Linked DNA regions of Notamacropus eugenii. The protein of the gene in region 3 purifies or fractionates together with the protein of the main gene of each other region. This does not show direct contact. Links are inferred from orthologs where the notes say so. Each region holds a gene or a part of one and is shown on either strand. Other genes may lie near its edges.

What was found. Proteins that work in one complex are often made in the same cells at the same time.
Region 1: the proteins of DYRK1A (region 3) and SEC16A purify together in Homo sapiens (affinity purification with mass spectrometry, with the first as the bait; 3 studies listed by BioGRID). This does not show direct contact. The link is inferred for Notamacropus eugenii from reciprocal best matches to the Homo sapiens genes DYRK1A and SEC16A.
Region 2: the proteins of DYRK1A (region 3) and LZTS2 purify together in Homo sapiens (affinity purification with mass spectrometry; 8 studies listed by BioGRID and IntAct, counting the BioPlex papers as one, with this or other methods). This does not show direct contact. The link is inferred for Notamacropus eugenii from reciprocal best matches to the Homo sapiens genes DYRK1A and LZTS2.

What each region holds. Positions count from the first base shown.
Region 1 is NC_092872.1:489,635,400-489,642,656, forward strand, and holds the start of SEC16A (protein transport protein Sec16A), read left to right. Parts: upstream 1-4,246; 5' UTR 4,247-4,404; intron 4,405-4,657; exon of another isoform or gene 4,658-4,795; intron 4,796-7,257. UniProt on the Homo sapiens protein: Acts as a molecular scaffold that plays a key role in the organization of the endoplasmic reticulum exit sites (ERES), also known as transitional endoplasmic reticulum (tER).
Region 2 is NC_092872.1:178,969,974-178,977,477, forward strand, and holds the start of LZTS2 (leucine zipper putative tumor suppressor 2), read left to right. Parts: upstream 1-4,493; 5' UTR 4,494-6,851; coding exon 6,852-7,322; intron 7,323-7,504. UniProt on the Homo sapiens protein: Negative regulator of katanin-mediated microtubule severing and release from the centrosome. Required for central spindle formation and the completion of cytokinesis.
Region 3 is NC_092876.1:420,706,005-420,713,367, reverse strand, and holds the start of DYRK1A (dual specificity tyrosine-phosphorylation-regulated kinase 1A), read right to left. Parts: upstream 3,010-7,363; 5' UTR 2,880-3,009; intron 1-2,879. UniProt on the Homo sapiens protein: Dual-specificity kinase which possesses both serine/threonine and tyrosine kinase activities. Exhibits a substrate preference for proline at position P+1 and arginine at position P-3.

The DNA.
Region 1 (7,257 bases), on a different chromosome or scaffold from region 3:
GTTGTTGTGAGGATGAGATGAAACAATAATTGTAAAGCTCTTAGCACAGTGCCTGGAACATAAAAGATGCCACATATTAGCTATTATTATTAACCCTGGGGATACAAAGAAAGGAAAACTCTCCACTTCTACCCATGACACCTCTCCACTCCTGAAAAAAAACAAAAAATCACCCCTTACTATGTACAAAAAAGATATATACAGAATAAATTGGGGTCAGTCTCAGATGAAAGACACAAAGATTAAGGAAGGCTAGGAAAGGCTTTTTGCAGAAGGGAGGGCTTTAGTTGAGGCTTGAAGAAAGGCAGAAAGTTAGGAGGAAGAGATGAGGGAGAGCTTTCTAAGGGCAGCCAATAAAAATGTTCAGTGGCAATGGTGAGGAACATCAAGGAAGTAAGTGTCCATGGATGACAGAGTACATGGAGAAGGGTAAGGAGTAAGAAGACTGGGAAGGTAGGAAAGGGGCATGTTATGAAAGGTTTTAAGAATCAAACAGGATTTTATATTTGATCTTGGAAGAAACAGGGTGTCACTTGAGTTTAGTAAATGGGGTAATGGAGGAGAGGTCAGACTTGAGGAAGATCAATTTAATAAATGAGCAGAGGCTGGACTGAAGTTGGAAGAGACTTGAGGCAGGAAGACCAACCAGAAGGCTATTGCAATAGGAGATACTCTCATATCTGGGGATGATCTGCAACTAGGTGGAGTCCCCTTTCAAACAAAGAATTTTTTTATTCTGTGCAAAAGCTTGAAACTTTTACCAGGAAACAAAATCAATTCTCTACCTTTGTTTGCCACCTCCTGATAACTGACATGACCTTCAAGGACTCCAAGAAGGCTTCTCTTTACATTTCCTCCTCTCCTCTCTGAACTGATAGAGTACTTCTGTTTCCCCTACTGGTTGTTGTCCTTCTGTTCTTCGTTCTCAAAGAGGATTAAAATGACATCACCATGATAAAATGAAATTTCAGTGTGTCTGACTGTGGCTGATCAGACTAATACGACCTCGGAATGCTCTACCACAGGCTGGGCACAGATAGTCCGTGTGGATATTTGGAGTGGATACTCCAAATTTGTGCATACTACATTTACTTTGTGCTATTTTAATTCTGCTTTGTTCATAGAGCACAGCACCCTTTCTGATGTAGGCATGCCATGCTGAGCGGTCCTGTGCCAGTGTCTCCCATGTTGCACAGTCAAATCCAAAGTACTTGAGAGTCTCCTTGTACCATTTCTTCTGGCCACCATGTGATCACCTGCCCCATACAAGTTCTCCATAAAATAGCCTTTTTGGCAAGTGTACATTTGCATTCTAACAACGTGGCCAGCCCATCAGAGTTGTGCTCTCTGAAGCATAGTTTGAATACTTGGCAGTTCAGTTCAAGCAAAGACTTCAGTGTCTGGTACCTTATCCTGCCAGGGGATCCTCAGAATCTTCCTAAGACAGTTCAAATGGAAGTGATTCAGTTTCCTGGTATGGTACTGGTAGACTGTCCATGTTTCACAGGCATACAACAATGAGGTCAGCACAATGGCTCTGTAGACCTTCAGTTTGGTAGTCAATCTAATATCTCTTCTCTCTCAAACTTTCCTTCTGAGACTCCCAGACACTGAGCTAGCTCTGGCAATGCATGCATCAACCTCATTGTCAATGTGTACATCCCTGGAAAGTACACTACCAAGGAAAGTGAACTTATCCACAGCATTCAAAACTTCTCCATTTGTTGTAACCAAAGGTTCCACATATGGATGGTGTAGTGATGGCTAATGAAGCACCTGTGTTTTCTTGGTGTTAATTATTAGACCAAAATTAGCACAGACAGCAGAGAATTGATCCATATTTTGTTGTATCTCAGCTTCAGAGGCTGCATTCAGTGCACAATCATCTGCAAACAGAAAATCATGCACCAACACTCCCTCTACTTTAGTCTTGGCTTGTAGCCTTTTCAAATTGATGAACTTACCATCAGTATGGTAGTTGATCTTGATACCATGTTCAACCTCATTGAAAGCATTTGACAACATGGCTAAAAACATCATGCTAAAAAGCATGGGAGCAAGCACACAGCCCTGTTTCACTTCGTTGGTGACTGGGAAGGCACAAGAGCACTGTCCACTATCCATAACCCAGGCAAACATGCCATCATGAAATTGACGTACAATACTGATGAACTTCTCCAGGCAACCAAATTTTGACATAACTTTTCATAAGCCTTCATGATTAACAGTGTCAAAGGCCTTGGTCAGATCTACAAACATTGTGTACAGACTTCTGTTCTGCTCCTGTATTTCTCCTGGAGTTGTTGGGCAGCAAACACCATATCTACAGCTCCTTGGCCCTTTCTGAAGCCACATGGACTCTCAGGTATATGACCATCTTCCAGGTGAAACATTAGCCTATTAAGGACGACTCTAGCAAGAATTTTGCCAGCAATGACTAAGAGAGAGACCCCCCCGTTACTGTCACAGGATAATCTATTCTCTTTACCTTTACAGAGATAGACAATGGAGACATCCTTGAACTCCTGGGACATAACCTCCTCTTCCCATATAACTTGGAAAATTTCAGTCAGCTTTTGCGTGAGCAATGGTTCCCTTACCTTGTAAATCTCAGGTAGAACAGAATCAGCACCAGGAACTTTGTCACATGAAAGAAGCCTAACGGCCCTCAAAACATCTTCTTCATTTGAAAATTCAGCTAAGGAGGGATTAACTTCAACCTGAGGTAAATGGTCAATGGCCTCAGCATTGACTGATGATGGTCTGTTGAGAATACTATGGAAGTGTTCAGTCCATCTCTCTAGGATCATGTCCTTATCACTAATCAATGTGGCTCCATCAGCACTGAGTAGTTGTGATGCACCATTGGTTATAGCTTTCTGTTGCATTTGGCCAGCACAACACATTTTGTTTCATATTGTCATCTAATTGTTCTATGAATGTTAGCCTTGTCTTTCTTGCAAGATTATAACATCCTCTGAGCAGAAGTCTGGGATAGTAGAAAGAGTAGGCTGGGCAAAGAGTAAAGAGACTTGTGTTCAAGTGCTGGCACACTTACTGACTTTTTGACTTTGGGTAAGCCCTATCACTCTGGGCCTTCATTTCCCCATCTGTAAAATGGGAATAATAATACACTATCTACCTCACTCAAATTATGACAAAAGAGGTATTGATTTTTATCTATGTTTTCATGCCACCTGGCTCCAGGTTTGGGGCACCACCCTGATCAAATAGACTTGTTGAATTAAAGTGGAAAAGGTCCCTTAATGTAAATGTTAACTTACCAGAGATGACTGTTTGCTATACTAGATCTGTTTAAACTTTCCAAAAACAAACAAAAAAACCCTTTTTAAGATCCCAACAAAGTGAAGTAACTCTGTTTGATCATGCTAATTCAAAAGGGTAGGGGCGGGAACAAATGACAAAACAATTTTTTTCACTTAAAGTCTTATGACAGTCAAGGTCTCTGAGTCACTTTTGCAATGTAGAAGGCACTCTGCCAACCAGCTTAAGAAAAAACCAAACAGCATTACTAGCATGTAACGTTTGGTGGGTGATGCAACCGCTTACTGAGGGCAAGCTTGCAAAACTGTTCCCTCTTCTAAAATTCCAACAGTAAAGGTATGATAAAGTCTACCCTGCCTTTCTTAATCTCTATTTTCTAGACCATGGCACCTCTGAGGTCATTTAATCCAACTCCCTCATTTTACAGATGAGGTTACAGTGGCCAAGAGAGAATAAAGGACCAGACCAAGGTCACATGGCTTCATCCACTCTTAAATCCAACATCATAAAGCCAAGGCAGACAGAAGGAAGGCATCGCTGGGATGTTTTGACAAAAGTCAAGGACAGATTTTATTTTGACAGCCTTTCATCTGTTCTCACTATCCCTGTCCTTAAACTCATCCCAGAGGCAAAGAGGCATTGCCTTTGGAGTCAGAAGACCTCTGCCTACTTCTGCGACACTGAGCAAAGCCCTTCAATTAAATTCCTCAGTTTCCTCACCTCTAAAATAAGGGTTTGGAGTAGAGGTTTCCGAGATCTCTTAAAGCTCCAGATCTATGATCCAATGAATATAAACTAATTTCCCCGAGAGTGGGATTCGAACTTGTGAACACCGAATACGAACGGAGCTTGTCTAACAGGCTTGTCTAAGTAACCCGGAGTGTTCCGATTTTCAGAAACCTTCGAGTGTTATTGAGTGGGACGCTGGAAGTTCTGCGCATGTGTCAAAAATTCGGCCACCGTTTCCTACCTCAGAAGTTCCTCGGGTTTCGACGGGAAAAACTACGGCGCACGCGCATTCAAAACCCTCTCCAACTTCGATTCGCTCCGTAATTGACGGAAATAGCCGAGCCTCCCCGGCGAAGGGCACGGGAGAGATATTTCTTGATTGATCTGCGGGTAAGGAATCTTGCTCTTCCACGCACTTCACTTTGCAGATAGAACTTAGAGAGTTTTTCCCCCCGGCAAGAAATCACACCCCCCCCCCACTTCCGCGAAGGCTGGGACGCCAGCGTCAGGGGCGGGACGAAGCGGGGTCACGCTGTGACGTAAGGGTCGGACACGTCGGCGGCGGCGGCGGCCGAGGCAACCGGAGCCGGATGTGCCAAGATGGCTGCAGCTGCCGTGGGGTCTACGTTGGGGAGAGCCGGAGCCGCTGCCGCTGCCTTTCCCCGCGGCTGCTGAGCGGAGCGGGCGGGCGAACGCTCGGGGAACGGCTGTGTGGCCGCAGCGGCCTCCCCGCGGCGGGCTTGTGGGACGAGGGAGCCCGGCCTGCCCGGGGCTCTGTCAGGTAAGCAGGGGGTGGAGGTGGGGGCCCGAGGGGACGGAGCAGCCCCGGTCCGCAGGAAGGATGCGCCGCGGGCGGCGAGCGTCTCCACTCGCTGGAGCGCTTCCTTCCGAGCCTGCCGGCGCCGCCGCCTCCGGGAAGCCTCCCCGGCCCTGGGAAGAGCCGAGCCCAGGGGACCCTCCAGTGGGTTCGGAGTCGGGAGTGTTAATCCGCCCTGTGACTCTGCTCAAGTTTCTCTGTGTAGGATGAGAGTTGGGACTGGATGATCTTCAAGAGTCCTCTGATTCCTAGGGGGCATTCCAGCATTCTAACCCAGAGCCGGGAGGCCCTCAGGAAAGCCTCCCCAGGCCTGCCCTCGGTGCCTCTAGCTCTCATCCCATCCCCCGAGCCCCCGAACTGCGTTCCTGCAGTGGGGGAGGAGGGGTGCGGTGGGTGCCGAGCAGCGAAGACGTTTGGATTCCAGGCCTTTTTCAGCACCCAGATGATGGGGAACCTTGGAGGAGGCTTTTTTTCAGAGAAGCAGCTTCATGCCGTCAAAAGACCCGTGGATCCTGGAGTCAGAAGGACTTTTGTAGGAATCCCGGTTCTTTTACTACCTGTGGGTCCCTTCAGTCAGTTCTTGTTCACCTAAACATTTATAAGTGCCTCCTAGGTGTAAGGTGCTTCCTCCAGGCCTCAGTTTCCATATTTGTAAAACGAAGGAGGTTGGAATAGGAGGATCTTTAAGGTCCCTTCCAGCTCCCAAATTTTACAGTCATACAAAACTCATCCATACATTAACAGTAATGCTTTTTGGTATTTCTCAGTTAACAGCAGTTGCTTATTTTACTGAGACAGGGAGGAACTGAGGCCTTGAGAGAGCCAGTGAGGAGTCATATAAAGAATTAGTGAAGGAACTGTAGAATGCAGATCTTTTGACTCCTGAGTCAAATTTACTCTCTTTCAATGACTCTTGCTTATTGTATGTACTTTTCTTGTATAGTTGTCCTAGTTTTGAGTGCTAATAACACAACAAAATGCTTTCTTCACGGCCTTTTGAAGTAGGTAGTACAGATAGTTTTTTCATTTTAGAGAGAAGAAAACAGTGGTGAAGAGACTTGCTAGTGCTCAGTCAGCACAGGTTAACAAGTTAAGCACTCACTTTGTGTCCAACACTATGCTAAAGCACGGGGGGTACAAATGAAGGAGAAAACAAGGTCCCTTCACTCAAGGAGCTCACATTTTAATGAGGGGGATGACATGCAAATCATTCCATATATACTGGATAGAAATAAAGTAAATGAAATGTTATCTCGAAAGGAAGTAGTGCTGCGGGGGTTAGGTAAGGCCTCCTACAAAAACTGGGGTTTAAACTGAGTCTTGAAGGAAGACAGGAAAGCTAAGAAGCAGAGGCGAAGACATGGGAAACAGTCAGAAAAAAGGCACAAAGTCAGGAGACCAGGAGTCCCGTTCAAGGAAATGTAAATAGGCCAGTGCAGATGGACCATAGAAAGGAGAACAGGAAAATTTAAGAAGACTGGACAGATAGGAAGGAATCAGGTTGTAAAGTGCTATGATAACCAAACCAAGGACTTTAACTTTGATTCAAAGATAAGAGGGAACCACTGAAATTTATTGAGTAGAGGGTATTTATGACATGGTTATGCATTTTTGCTTTAGGAAAGTCACTTTTGGCAGCTAAGTGGAGGCTGGAATGGAAGAAGGAGGCCAATTAGAAGGCTATTGCAATAGTCAGGTGAGAGATGATGAGGACCTGTAGCTACAGTGGTGACTGTGTGATTGGAGAGAATGTACACACAGTAAGTGAGCATCAGAAGCAGGACTCAGGTCTTCTAAAGTCCAGTACTAATTTAATTTCCTTACCCTATATTGTCTCCAGTGCTTCTAATTACTATTAGCTTTTATTATGGCTTATCCTCCCCTTTCCTCCCTCATTTTTTGTCAGAATGAAAATCAAGCCTCACCTAAAAAAAGTCCACAGGAAGCACTGCAAGTGTTATTCTCTTTTTTAAGATAAGGAAGCTGAGGCCCAGAGAAGAAGTTTTGGGGATTTAAAGTCAAAAGACCTGGGCTGATATACTGACTCTGCCACTTATGGTTTATTCTCCAAAATGAGGGGGTTATATTAATGATGTCTTACAATTCTGAATCCTCTGATCCTATAAAGAGCCTGTAGTGTACATAGCATTGTACCAGTTGCTAGGTAACATAAAAAGTCAGACCTGGATCTTGCCCTTATAGTGTTTATAGTCTAATAGTATAGTACAAGCACAGATAAGGTAATAAACAATACAAAACAGTGCTGAGTAAGGACTAAATAGAGAGGTAATTCATTTGAACACCAAGAACGTCTTTAAAAGATACATAGAAATTCTCCAGCCTGAGGCAGGAAGCACGTTCCAGGTATAAGGAACAGAGCAACCTCACAGAAGCTTGAGAAGCCTGTATTTTAGGGGAGATTCAGC
Region 2 (7,504 bases), on a different chromosome or scaffold from region 3:
GCCATGTAACTTGGAAGATTTCAGCCAGCTTTTGTATGAGCAGTTGACTCCCTGCCTTGTAAATTTCAGTTAGAATCCAATCAACACCAGGCATTTTGCCATATGAAAGGCACCTAATGGCATTTAAAACTGTTTCATTTGGAAATTTGGCTAAAATGGCAAAACAGCATGGGTGATGTCTTTTTGGTATAAATTAAAGTGAGGCAGAGTTGCACATAATCATCATCCTTACTCTTCCAGAGTCATCGGAGTCCAGTGTCAAGACAAAATCAAGATGACTGATGATGACCTGAGATGCAATGGATGACTGTTGGCATCTGTAATGTCTCCATAGTGCCTGCTTTAGTAGCCATTGTGGCCATTGGAATAAATTGTTCTCCACTCATTCCACCTGGGAAATCTTCACATACTTGGGATAGTCACTCCCTAAGACCCCTTGGTCACTCAACATAGTTTAGCCATCTGCTGAAATGGTTTACTGAGCATGCTACAACTTCTTGGAACCACAGGTGAGAGGGGGATGAATCAAACAGACACCAAAGGTGGATGAGCAGCCCTCACTAGTCTTCTCTGAACACACCCTACCCCTCTTACACTTTTATTAAAAAAGATGTTTTGATTTTTTATTTTTAGCTTTCTGTGATTGCCACCTATGACCACCAGGTGTCAGTGGTGCCCCCAATACCATGATGCCAACATCTCCTGTCCTTGTTTCTTATCCTTAGGATAGAGAATGAGGGTGTCCACCCAAGCCCCTGACCTGGAGACCCTCTATCTTTGCTTCCCAGCAGCCCTTTGAATTAGAGCCAGGAAAATGGTATCAAGATGGGGGGGGGGGCCCAATCTGACCCTGTAAACTTGGCTTTTCCTGCTCTCCCTTTCCTGCCATCATCCCAGATCCCTTTCCCATCCTACCCAAAGTATGGAAAGCAGGGGTGGTACCAGGCCAGTATCCATGATCCTTTCAAGGGGCTGGGCTCAGCCATTAGAGTCTTATAGTACATTTATGTGTATCCATCTGTGTGTTTACATGCATATCTGCAGAGTGGCAATGGCTGGTAGTACTGGCTTGATGAATGTTAAGAGTAGATCAGGATGAAGCCCCACTCCTGTTAGCCTTGCTGTGTTGGGGGTGGAGGGAAAGGACTATTCTTGGGCAGTTTTCAGGGATAGGTAGAAAGTTTTGTTGTATAGTGGGATACAGCTCCTGGTTTCTCTGGGTCTCAGGCTGGATAGAGCTGAGACTTTTGTTTTAATAATTCCTAGCTTTGAGCTGGCCAGGATGAGAGACTTAGGCAGAGACTCTATAGTACAGCCAGTCCTCAAAACTGCACATCCCTGGGAAGGGGTGTATGATTAGCCTAGCCTATGTGAACAGTATGGATTCCTCAATGGACCTTCCTCAGGATGCCCTTTGTGGAGCTTGGAGGAATTGGTAAGTAAAATCCTGGGCCACCGGTGCTGCCTCACATTCAGAAAAACCCACGCGGTACAAACCAGAATGGCCAGGGAAAAGAAGCTACACAACCTCCCTTATCTCCCCTCCCCTCCTCAGCCCCACCCTTTAAACAAACACACACCTTAACAAACACCCTGTACCCATGCAAGAACAGATACATGTTCCTGGAACCTCAGATCTACAGTGGGGTTTTCTGCAACTCTCTCACTAAAACGTGAGGGTGGGCCCAGGCAGAACCTACTTCATCGGCCTCAGTTTACTCATTTTCCTATTCAACACACATATTAAAGGCCCTTGGAAATGGGGATGAAAACGACCCAATATACTCAAAATTAGCCTTCCAGTAGGGGATAGAGTCCAAAGCCCAGACCTGGGCTAGGTGGGGCCTGATGTAGTCTGGTGCGTGAGTTCAAGTGAGAACTTGATAACTGACGGTTATACTCTGAGCCCTGTGCTAGCAATCACTATCAAGGTTCCTGTTTTCTATGGCTTACGATCTGAAAAACCAGCTGAAGGGACTGGGGGAATGCTTGGCTAAGGAGCTTTTTGTAAGGCCCTGACCTCTGCAGCCGGCTTCCAGCCCTGGGCCCTGTGCTCTCAGTCCTAACGGGGCAGTGTAATAGCTTCAGCCCCTCAGGACCGCTTAGCCTGCTGCACTCCCTCCATTCCCATCCCGTTTCCTGCTTTGGCTAGTTGGGACTTCCAGGACTACGAGAGCGCGGGGTATCTAGTCCTACGAAAAGAGAATACTTAGGGAGGCCTCGCACGGACCCAGAGAAAAGGATGGTCTGGGCCCGGCCCGAGAACGAGGAGTTCTAGCCCTGCTTCACCAGGTCTGCGAAGCTGTTCATGCCGCCGCTTACCCACCCTACCCCCACACGGCCAACGCGGGTGAAATTCGAGTCCCTCTGGGTCACTACACCTTAAGGGGGGAGGGCCCGGAGGGCCGAAGACGCGCCAGACCAGGGTCTGAGCTTGGGGACACAAACAAGGCGGGCCAGCCCCCGCCCCGCCCGAGGGACCCAGGACGCCCAGTGGGAGGCGTCCGTGCGAGGGCACGTGGAGGCGGCAGGAAGCGGCCCGCCGTGGGTAGTTTTGCTTCTAGCAGCATGGGGGGGCGGGGCGCTGTGGGCCCAAACTAAAGTTTAAGGCCTGGGTGTTGGTGTCCTGGGATCTCGGTCTTCCTTCCGAGCAGGGCCTCTAGGGCCGCAAAGTCCTTCGGGGTCCGGGTCGCGGGGGCCAGGCGGGGCCCTCACTCGCCGCAGGCCCTCGGGTGCGGCTCCGCCGGCCCCGCCCCGCCCCTCCCCTCCCGCCTGGGCAGGCGATGGCAGCGGGCGGAGCAGCTGGGAGGCCTCAGCCGGGCGGAAGACTGAGCCAGAAGCTCGGGGCAGCCCTCGGTGAGTGCGGGCTCGGGGAGGGCTCCCTCCGAGGCAGGTCGGACTGGGCGGCAGGAGGGGAAGGCCGGCGCCTGCGGGCTGCAGGAGAGCACTGGCGGCCCGGCCCGGGCCGCGCCAACTAGTCCGGAGACCCACCTTCCCCAGCCGCCCCCCGCCCCCGGCGCGCCGAGAGAGCCAGCTCGCACAAAGAAAGCCGCGGGCGCCCCCCGAGCGTGCACCGGAAGCCTCGTGCGCTAGCCAAGACCCGACGGGTGGAGGGGGCGGGATAGGGCCGGGGGCGGAGCCTGGGAGATTTTGGCCCAGTTCTGGCTTCCCGGCCGGCCAGGCGGTAAACTGGGATCACGTGTCTCCGCGCGGACACGTGGGCGCCGGGCCGGGAGGGGGCGGGGTGTTGGCGAACCCGAAGGCCTGGCTCGGCCCCAGGAAGCCTAGTGGGGGCAAAGAGCTCCCCCCGCCCATCCGGGCCCGCGGCCTTCGAGAGGGAGCAGGGCTGTAGCGAGAAGCCGTCGGAGGATGGGGCAGTGATGGGCGGAAAGCCTGGTCTGTGTCCGAAGTGGCGAGGTTTTCGGAGCGGGAGGGCTTGGGGGCGTGGCTGGTCCCGACGGGGGCGGTGCCTTCGGGGCCGGGGCGGGGCTGTCTTCCCCTTTCGAGGGAAAAAAAGGAAAACAAGACTCTTTCCAGGGAGCTAAAAATAGCCCTGAGGTTGGGAAGGCCAAGACTGCCGGGGGACCGGGGCGGGGAGAACGGCCGTCCGACCGCCCTCCCCTCCCGGGCCGAGGGCCGAGGCCTGGAGGCCCGTCACGTGGTGGTGGTGGTGGTGGGGCGATGTGCCCGGGGCTGGGCCGCGGCCGTCGGTACACGGTCTCCTAATCTCGTCTTGCTTCGGCAGTTTGGGGAGTGGGGGGACCCTTCCCTTAGACGTCTCAAGCGGGGCAGGAACACAGGAAGAGGGGCCCCTGCATCGGCCCCTGTCCGGCCCTGGGTCACGCCAGCAACTGAGGCCCCCCTTGGGGTGTCGGGGTCGCTCGGGATCCTTCTCTCCCGCCCCCCTCCGCAGGAGAATGGGAAGGGGTGGGGGGCTCCGATGCTCGGGCCGGCCTGACCGGGCTGGGAAGGGGAGGAGCCGCAAGGCCTTTTGTGCTGGTACTCGGGCCAGCGGCCAGCCTTAGGCCCCTTGGGGCGGGGGAAGGCCGTGCTGACCCTCGCAGGCCGCCCCCCACCTCTGCATGCTCTCGTGCACACCCCGCGTGGCTTCGTGGGAAGGCGTGCTCCCCACTTCTAGACTCCGGACCTGTTTGGGGCCGCGTTTGACGTGCGTGAATCCCGCGCGAGCAACAGCGCGCATCCGTGCTTACATGTGCACGTCTGTGTGCTTACAGAACACGGGTGACGTGGGCTGCGCGCGTGTCGGAGCCCAGGCGCTGGGGGCGGGGCTACCTCCCCCTTCCCCGGGCTCTGCCCCTCCCTTGCTTGGGTCAGGGAGGGGGAGGGGACGGGAGCCGGGGGGAGGGGAGGCGGAGCCCCGGTCAAGCTCTCGGGGCGTCCGAGGATCCGGGCTGCAGCGAGGGCTCCGAGGGAGCCTCCGGGGTGTGAGCATGGAGCAGCGCGGCGGAGGTGAGGGGGGCAGGCGCGGGGAGGGATGCCGCGGCGCCCCCGGAGTTAGGAGCAGCCGAGGCCCTTCGTTAGCAGACTCCGTGCTAGTCGGGGGGCGCAGAGAGGAGCCTCCCGCTCGGTGTCCGGGGGTTGGATTCCGCTCCCCCACGCTCGCCCCGCAGCCCCGCGGGTTTGGGAGGCAGCTTCCTGAACTCCAGACCCCCAGGGTGGGGGTGGGGGGCGGCGGCGCCGGCAGCTGGAGCGCGCCCAGCCTGGCCCTGGCCCCGAAGTCCGACCTGGGGGTGGGGGTGGGGGAGGGGAGCCGAGGGGCCCCTTCCCCCCGAGCAGACACAGACGCTGCTCAAAATGGAGCCTCCGATAGCCCCTCCCTCCAGCTTGGAAGGAGAGAGCGGGAGCCCGGCCCCCCCAGGCTCCGGCCTAGTCTGGACTTCCAGACTCCGGCTGCCCTGCTCGTCTCCGCCCCCTCTCCCCCTTCCACTTCTGCCAGCTTTCCGCGTCTCCCTGCCTCCCTCCCACCCAGCGCTCCGCACTTTCCTTGTGCTCACAAGGAGGCAGATGGGGAAAACTAGTCCGCCTAGTGACCCCTTAAGACAGCCACCCACCCACCATTGTGGGGGGGGGGGGCGGATCCACTCCTCTGTGCCTGGTAACCTTAAGGGTGGCATATCATCTTCTTAAAACCCCCCCACCCCCAGGAGGTGTCCGGGGCCTGAGCTGTGGTGCATCAGGCTCTCTGGTCTTCAGCTGCAGCTGGAGGGAACCTGATGCTCTCACAGAGACTTCACCAGCCCACTGTCGTGTTTTCATTTGGGGAGGGAGGGGCTGAGGTAAGGAAGAGAGAAGTGGAGTTGAAGGGCCTCCAGGAGTTCAGGTTCACCTTATACTAGATATCTGTCTCAATGCCTTTCCAGTTCTTGAGATAGTTTGATTCTGAAAATGGGGAGAGGACAGGTTTAAAAAGGGGGGGGAGTGGATTTGTATGTGGCCTTCACTGAGCGGGGAATGGGAAAAAACGTACTTCATGTGTGAATTCATACATATACAGCTTCAGTGCTTTGTGTTGAGAGCACACACACACGCACACACTCTTTCGTTTATCTCCAGATCATGTCCTGATGGCTTGAACAGATGTCTAAAACCCTTGGAGGGCTCAGGAAGGGCTGGGGTTCCAGATGGGCACTTCCTCTTCCCAACCTAAGAAGGAGATGAAGCTGAGGGTCAAGGGTCACCAGACCCTCCTCGGTTTAGCTCCAGCTAGATCCTGGGAACATTTGGAGGGGGAGAGTTAGAGCCTGTGTTTTTAAGAACTCTCTACAGGTCATAGCTGACAAGTCTTCCTTACTGGGGTTGTCTCTGTTCCTTAGGACTAATCTGATGGTGAGAGGTTTAGTAGGTGATATTGGGGATAGGGCAGGGTTTGTCATGGAAACTCTGTGTCCCTGGTGAGCTAGGAAGGGGTTCATTAAACCCTCAAATTTTCTTTGGGGGCAGAGACATCTAGGGTGGTTAAGAGTTAAATGTTTTAGGGTTCAGTCTAGCCCAACTTCTTGAAAACTGGGGGTAGGTGGTTTTTATGGGGAGGCAAATGACCACTGATTAATTTGGGGAGCAGTGCATTGACTGGTATGATTTGAGGAGGAAGGGCACAGGCAGCTCTCCGTTCCCTAATTACCATCTGGGAACAGGGATAGTATGTGTGTGGTGTCTCTCTTGCAGTGGGTAGTGAGTTTTCCCTTCCTAAGGGCTGAGCCAGAGAGACCTGCCTACCTCAGAGGGGACAAGAGCCCTAGACCTTAGTGTAGGGGCTCAGCAAGACCTGAAACCTCGGACTGGGGTTTCTGCCCTACCTGGAGGCCCCAGACTCATCTGACCAGTTGGGCCGGCTTGGCCACTTCTCTCCCCCTATCTGGCCCTTGCTCTTGACACCTTTTCCAGCCTCTCTGTACTCTTCCTCCCCTTCTGTTCTCCCATCCTCCTTCCAAGAGAAGCCTATTTCCCATAAAGTTTAAATCTATCTCAGACCCTTGGCCCCTATTGAGATAGAAGGGAGCTCTAGAGACATGAGAAGTCATGACCTTTCCCTTTAGCCTTAACAAGGAGCAAGGAACTAGACATGTCCATCTGTTTGTATGTGTGTATATGTTGGGAGGTAAGTTTTCAGGGTTTGGAAGCAGGGCTTAATAGGACACAGGACAGGCTTAGGATGAGGAGGCTTAGAATTGGGGCTGTTTGGTGGTGGCTGGGGCTTAGGGTCAAGGGCATAGAGAAGAACTGGGGATGGGGAGTTGGCAGAGGAATTTTGGGTGGGTACTGTTTCAACAGTGGGTTATAGTGGGAAGTAGAGGTCTGGCAGAGAGGCTTAGGAATGGGAAGCTTTGACCATGGCCTTCTTCCTTGCACAGCAGGTTGCCTTCAAGGCCTGTGGCCAGGCCACAGTCCTTCCAACCATGGCAATCGTCCAGACTCTGCCCGTGCCCCTGGAAGCTACCCCTGAGAGCACAGTCTCACACCCACCCCACCTGCCCACCATGGGCAGTGTGAGCAGCCTTATTTCAGGCAGGCCCTGCCCTGGAGGAGGGCCTGCCCCCTCGGGACCTCCCTTCTTCCGGCAACAGGATGGTCTACTACTTCGAGGGGGTGGTTGTAGGGCCCAGGAGCCACTGTGCCCCCCAGTACCCACCAGAAAGCCTGTGGGAAATGCTGGCTTCACATACATCAATGAGGACTTTCGGGGAGATTCACCCTCCAGCCCCTGTAGTGACACTGAGGATTCCCGAGAGCAGCAAGCCCGAAGCGCCCATCTCAGGGGCCCACCTCCAAAGCTCATCCCTGTGTCTGGAAAGTTGGAGAAGGTAAGAATGGGACCCTTCCTTTCAAATCCAAATGACTTTTCACAATGTTCAATGAAAGGAGGAGGTGGGATGGGATATAGTACCTTTGATGATTAGCTCTGCTTCCTCGACCAAGGGATTGTCAGGATATAGATAAAGGGAGCACATAGGACTTGGGAGAGGGTACCTCCTAGTAGCTAGGT
Region 3 (7,363 bases):
TGGTAGGCAAAACAATACAAAAACTGAGGTATTCATTAATAAATGGAAAGTAATTCTTACTGCTGAAATCCATTTTTTCTATCACAGCTAAACCAACTCTTAATAGAAGAAATTCAAGTGAGCCTGGGTAAGATCCGGGCAATTAGATCACAATCTGGAAAACATCCACCCACAAAAAGTCTTTTTGGAGATTTTTAACTTCCAATGGGTCTGAAAGTCTTGGCCCTATTCTATATTCTATAATTCTATAAAGAATTATAAACACTAATATAGTGATATACTGAGAAGCGGAATTGTTCTGGAATTACAAACATCTTAAATGTAGCTGTAATACTATCAACGTAACTTTGTACCATGTTACATAGTCACTAATGGTTAAGAACTTTATTTAATAGAAAAAAGTAATAAACAAATGTCATGGCCTGGCAACTGGCCTGACTTAAGCCCCATTAAAAATCTATGGGATGTAATCAAGGTCAGACTTGGAAAAACAGACTGTTCAGTAAAGGTACACTTAATATCAAATGTGATTAAGTGTGAATTAAAGTATGTGTCAAAATCTTGTGAACTCAGTCGCAAATCATGTAAAACAAATAAGAGCAGCAAAAAAGTAGATTACATATTAAAATTTTTAAAGATGTAAAAAGTTGTAACATATATGCTGTGTCAAATATATTTTCTATTTTAATTTTTCTAGTTAATTTACAAATCAATATAAGTACATATGAAACTGTCATAACCTATTTTCACATGGATATCTATGTAGGATGCAATATAGACCCAAGTCACTGAAAACTTTCTGGTAAGAAAGTTTTTGTCTTGAGTACATCTAGAGTGTCGTTATAAAAACGACTGTATTCCAACATCAAATCTTTTTTTAAAAATTGGTTAGTTTGAATAGTTCAGAATCATTATGTATTTTAAAACTTTATCTATAACTAAGTCCCATAATTACTGTATTTGACACTATCCACACACTACACATAAAAATTATATGAATCTTATGCTACACAGAAATCTGTTGTCTACCTAGAATCAACATTCTTTATATCTGTTAAACCAAAGAACAGAAAAGAAATGTAGAAGTATGTAAAAGCAAAAACTTCCTTACATTAAAAAATATCCTTATGCCAATATATTTAATCATTTTAATTATGCAAATTACGAAATGGTACACAGATAAAGGCAAGGTACTTTAAAGGAATAAACCAAACTTATGTTTATCAAAATTCATTTTATATTCATCAACCACACAGGGTAGATCCCCAGGACCAACTTTTGTGAAACCATGGATACTCAGGATAGCCAGGAATAGATGAATGGAGATCTGCATTACTGAAGTCCCAAAAGATGAGATCACAGATCTATATGAATAGTTATCAATAGTCAAATAAGGTCTACAGCTAATCAGAATACTTGTTGAACTGTTATTCCACATAGAACAAATAGAGGAGAAAAGCTAAGAACTGCATTAAGAGTTTTCAGTGAATGAAGTACATAGTTTTCAAATACAAAAATACTTCTAACAGATTTCTTTAAAATAAATTTGGACAAAATGGCACCAGATCATCTCAGCCTTCACTTTCCAATTCAACAAACGATAGAGCCAATTACAAGCTAACAGCACTACTTCCCCTTAGTCATAAAGCTGTAATGACATGTAAATGGCTACACTATTCATTATTACTTATAATCAGCTGCTTATGTATCAAATGAACTCTTTTGCAGAATCAGGAGTGTTCTTTAATATTGTTAGTGTAAAGTCAATTTTTAAGGTATATCTATTTTCTGATGAGTAAGGCAAGAATCAAGCAAGTCTGGCACCAGAGAATTCTGATGATCAAGGAAAGAATAAAGTGGAACCTCAAGTTGGCTAAGAGATAGACACCTACTACGGTGCTATTTATAACTATGGAATTTGAATGGAGACACTGACCTTTTCTTTTCTGTATATGAAATATATTCACTGACTTTGGGGGTAAAATGCTGAATTCCAAACAGGCTCCGGGTTTATGTCCATAAATTTAAAAGCCACATCTGAAAACTTTTGTGGGTCCATTATGATAAACATGTTCTCTGTCATCCAATTCTCCAGTTGCTAAACAGGTATTTAAGTTGCCACCTCAAAAGGCCAAGTTTGCTTTAACTTCAGGGAATTTAGAGTACCACAGACTACCTGACTTTAAAAGCCCAAACAGATTAAAAGATTAAGATTATTATTTTTTTAAAATCATCTCCTCCACCACCTGCCCTTGTTTCCATCCTCTCACTGCAGCCTACCTACCCATGTTTGCGGATTCATTTTAACAAGGAAAAGGGTCCACTGCTGAATAATTCCTGACTTCTCTGCACAGCTGAAGCAGCTTTCCCTTGCACGGACCCAGCACTTTCTCCAACCCCAAGGATATAAAAAGAAGCCAGCCCTGTATGGCCACAAAAGGGGAGCACGGGGGGCACCAAGGGCTCCTCTCTCTGCTACCTGCCATCCCCATCCGCAGGAGTCGGGGTCCTTCCTCCTAACTTCCACTCACCCCACACTCCACTTCGCTAAAAGGAGCCGTTTCCGACTGCACCTCGCAGAGGCCTGCACCCGCAGCTCCTCCCCAGGCCGGCTCCACGAGGGGGGGATTCCGCCGGCAGGACCGGGACCAGGGACACTTCTTTCTAAAATGGCAGGTTTCCTCCCCAACGTATACATGCACACCTATGTAATTATTATACACGCACACGCGGCCTCCCTCTCCCTTCGCCCTGTATGTCACTGCAAGTCCTAGCTGGGGAGCCCGGCCTAGGACGGGGGGAAGGAAGGCTTCAGTGCCCGGGAGAGGCCTGCGGCCGGGGCCGGGGGCAGAGAGGGGAGGGAGGCTCCGGACACTCACCGAGACGACGGCGGCCGATGTCGGCTCCTGCTCCCCGGCTTCCCGCAGTTACGGTCCCATCCGAGGGCCTCGGGCTCCAGCACCGCCCCGGCCGCCTCTCTCCGCCCCCGGCACTTCCCGGCTCCACTCACCGGCCACTGCGTCTCAGGCTCCAGAGACCAGCAAGGCGACAACCCCCCTCCCCGGCAAATACCGCAGTCCCCGGCCTCGGAGGATCAGTCAGGCGGCGGGGCGAGGCCGAGCTAGGCCGGGCGAGGCCGGGCGCGGCGGGGAGGGCGGCGGTGGCGGCGGCCTCTCCCCGGCGGCCGCGGCCCGGGGTCCCTCAGTCTCCGCGGCTCCCGGCTCCTTTCCGAGTAAGATTTTGTAAATCTCACAAAATGGCGCGCGCTCCAAACCTGCGCAATGAGAAGCGCCGGGGCCGGGGCGGCGGCGGCGGCGGCGGCGGCGGCGGCTTATCCGCCAGAAAAGTCCTAGCCGCCCGCCCCCCGAGAGATCCTCCTAGCACGGACACACACGCACACGCACACACACACGCACACACACGCGCGCACACACTCACATTCACACTAGTTCTCCTCTCTCCCCTTCTCTCACAGACACTCACCCACACTCACTCTCACGCTCACACACACTCGCACTCTCACACACACACTCGCACTCTCACACACTCACACACTCACACACACACCGGTCTCTCCCGCAGCAGCGGCGGCGGCGGCAGCAGCAGCAGGAACAGTAGTAGCAGGAACAGCAGCGCCCGTGGCACCCGCACCCCCAGCTCGAGGTGTCCGCTCCCCGCGCCGGCCTGGGCCTGATCCACCGCAGCCACCGCAGCAGCCTCCCGGATTCCCCCGCCGCAGTTGCCGCTACCGCCCCCACCTCACTCCCAGGGAGCTTTTTATTATTATTCGGGCGGGAAGCGAAAGGGTTTAAAAAAAAACCCTACCAACAAAATGGCGACTGACCGACCCGGTCGCTATGGCAACTGTCAATCAAACAGCAAAACCCCGGCTGACGTGCTGACGTCCTCCTCCTACCCCACTTCCCCAAACCGGCGGGCGGGGCCTGTCGCCGGGGTAACGGCGAATTCCGTTCCCTCCTTTTCCTGGCTGCCTCCCTTCCCCCCACCAACCACCCAACCCCCTTCGGTCACGTGAAGGATAAATTCGGCGCTGTTTTGCTGCCAAGTGTCAGAGGAGGGCGCGTGATTCACTCTGGGGAGGGGGCAGAAGGAAGGAAGGAGAAGAAGGGAAGGATGACTAGAGGTGTGATGGGGTGGGGAAAGCAGAGAAGGAGGGAGGAGGGAGCGGATCCCATTTTTGTATTTCTAAGTGCTGCATTTGTAGAGGGAGAAAGAGATTCTGGCTCCACGCGCGCGCAGACACGCGCACACACACGCACACACGCACACACACACACACACACACACACACACACACATCTAACACACATTCCCAAACCCCGCCCCAAACGAGGCTGGCCACCAGAAATCTGGAGAGCTGCCACCCACCGGACTAGAGTCTGGCGTCCTCCCCATAATGCACAGCAGCTTCGGGGAGGGCCCCACTGCAGGCACTGGGAGGCGGGGGTGGAGACGGGGAAGACTAGCTGAGCCTCCGGAGTCCGGTGCCCCGTGCCCCGTGCCCCTCCCTGGCGGCCCCGCCCGCCGCACTCACCTCCGAGAAGAGAAGCCATCCCCCGGGCCGGCCCTGGGCGCCCTAACCAAGAAGCGGGGCCGGGAGACCCGCGTTGGAGCCCGGAGTTCTGCAGTCTTCACGTGGAAGTGTCACGCCGACAGCAGCCTGAGGACCGGCGTCCAGGACGGGAAACCCCGTCCCCCAGAAGGGGGGCACGGGGGAACCCTGGGTTTTTTTCCTTTCTCGTCCACTTACCTGAGTATTTCGTGTGCCCCACTTGGTGAAAGCGAGCTGTCCCGGTATGCTTTTTTAAAGGCATATGACCCAGGAAGGGATGAAAGTCTCAACCTGGAGCTGGGCTCATAATTGGTGCCTTCTGCATAGTCAGATCTGAATAAAGCAAGCCAAGAATGCCCTTGCTTCTGACCACCCAGATTAATTCACTGACACAGTGTGTGTGTGTGTGTGTGTGTGTGTGTGTGTGTGTGTGTGTGTGTGTGTGTGTGTGTGTGTGTGTGTGTGTGTGTGTGTGTGTGTGTGTGTGTGTGTGTGTGTGTGTGTGTGTGTGGTGTGTGTTCGCAAGAGAAAACCTATCCCTCTCAGCGAGTCTACTTGCGGTTAAAATATCCACGGATACACTTACCTTTTCTTTAGCCAGCCATAGGATACAATTGTTTCAAAGCAAAGACATTTAAAAGTCACATGCCGAGTTACGATTTCAAGGTACAAAATATAGATACAGTATCATTGGGGAGAATGGACACGCGCACACACACACACACACAAGGGGAACGTGTAGAAGGTAACTTGAACCTCTCATGCTGCAGGACCATGAATTTCTCCTGTTGGCATGATTCAACAAGCATTTATTGAGCTCTTACTGTGTACCAGGCACTATGCTAAGCACTGGGGATACAAAGAAAGGTCAAAGACAGTCCCTGCTGTCAAGGAACTAAAGACAGTCTAATGGGGAAGACAAACAAGATGCAGACAAGAGAAACTGGAGATAATCCACAGAGATAAGACATTAACATTAAAGGGGATTGGAAAGGCCTTTTGCAGAAGATGGGATTTTGCCTGAGATTTGATGGAAGCCAGGGATGTTGGGCAGCAATAAGTAAAAAGAGTTCCACTCATGGGGGACAGCCAGTGAAAATGTGCAGTCAGGAGATGGAGTTCCAGCAACAGCAAAGTGTATCACAGAGTGCATGAAGGGATGTAAAGAGTAAAAGGACTGGAAAAGGAAGAATGAGCAGGTTATGGAGGGCTTTAAAAAGCCAGAGGATTTTGTAACTTGTTCCAGGAGACAAAAGGGAGTTAGTGTAGTTGATTGAATGGGGAGGGGATAGGATGATATGGACAAACTTGCTCTTTAGGAATATTAATTGGTTCTGGAAGATGGAGTCTTACTGCTTCTCTCACTGGACTTGTCACTCTCACCTCCTCTTGGTGGATTCTTGGTGGCCACCAACCGGTCATCTCAGCTGAAATTATCTTACCAGCTAACAAAAGCCAAGTTGAATACCTCCAGGTCTCTTTTCGAAACCTATGTATAAGTGGAGATCTCAACCTTCCATTAGCTAATCACTCTCTAACCTATCTGATTTAATATGCAAAAGAATTTGATCAGAAAAATGGTAAGCTAAGAAGGCAAGCCTTTCCACTCACTCCACTCCTGCCTTTACTGTCCACAGCTATCGGCTGTATTTTGATTGACTGAAAAATTTTGCTGTCTCCCTACATAAATGATTGCTGTGGTTGTTGTTATTAAGGCACTCAGTTGTGATGCCACAGACCATAGCACAACAGGCTCTTCTGTCTCCTAAAATCTATTCAAACTCATGTTCATTATTTCTATGATACTATCTACCTATCTCATTCTCTGTCATTCCCTTCTCTTTTTTTTGTCTTCAATCTTTCCCAACATCATGGTCTTTTCCAATGAGTCCCATCTTCTCATTGTGACCAAAGTATTTAAGCTTTAGCTTTTGTATTTGACCTTCCAATGAATAGGTTGAATTAATTTCTTTAAGTATTGACTGATTTGATCTCCTTGCTGTCCAAGGAACTTTCAAAAAGTGTATTCCAGCACCAAAATTCTAAAGTGTCAATTCTGTAGCACTCAGCTTTTCTTTTACTCCAGTTATCATAACCATACATTGCTAGTGGAAAAGCCATAGCTTTGACTACATGAACTTTTTTACTGGCAAGGTGATGTCTCTGCTTTTTAATATGGTGTCCAAATTTGCCATAACTTCCCTTCCAAGAAGCAAGTGTCTTTTAGTTTTATGGCTGCAGTCACCATCTGCAGTGATCTTTGAACTCAAGTGTATAAATTCTGACACTGCTTTCATTTCTTCTCCCTTTGTCAGAAATTGATGGGACCAGTTGTCAAGATCTTAGAATATTTGATGTTAAGGTTTAAACAAGCTTTTTACACTCTCTTCTTTCACTCTCATCAAGAAGCTTCTTAATTCTTCTTCACTTTCTGCCATCAGAGTGGCATCTGCATATCTGAGGCAGTCGATATTTTTTCTAGCAATCTTAATTCTGGCTTTTGATTCGTCCAACCTGGCATTTCTTATGATGTACTCTGCAAATAAGTTAAATAAGATAACATGAGTGTTAAAAATGATTGGATTCTAGGTATCAAAAAACTCTCCCTTTAGCCTTAGACCAAACTTTCTCATCTTTTCTTAGCCTTGAGCTTCCTTTTTAGATGTATATAATTAATTCAAGCAGGAAATGTCACTCAAGTATCTTTGCCAAGAAAACCCCACAAAAAAATAGGACATTACTAAAATGATCGAACAACAAATTAATTCAATATGTTAGGTTCAAAGCTAT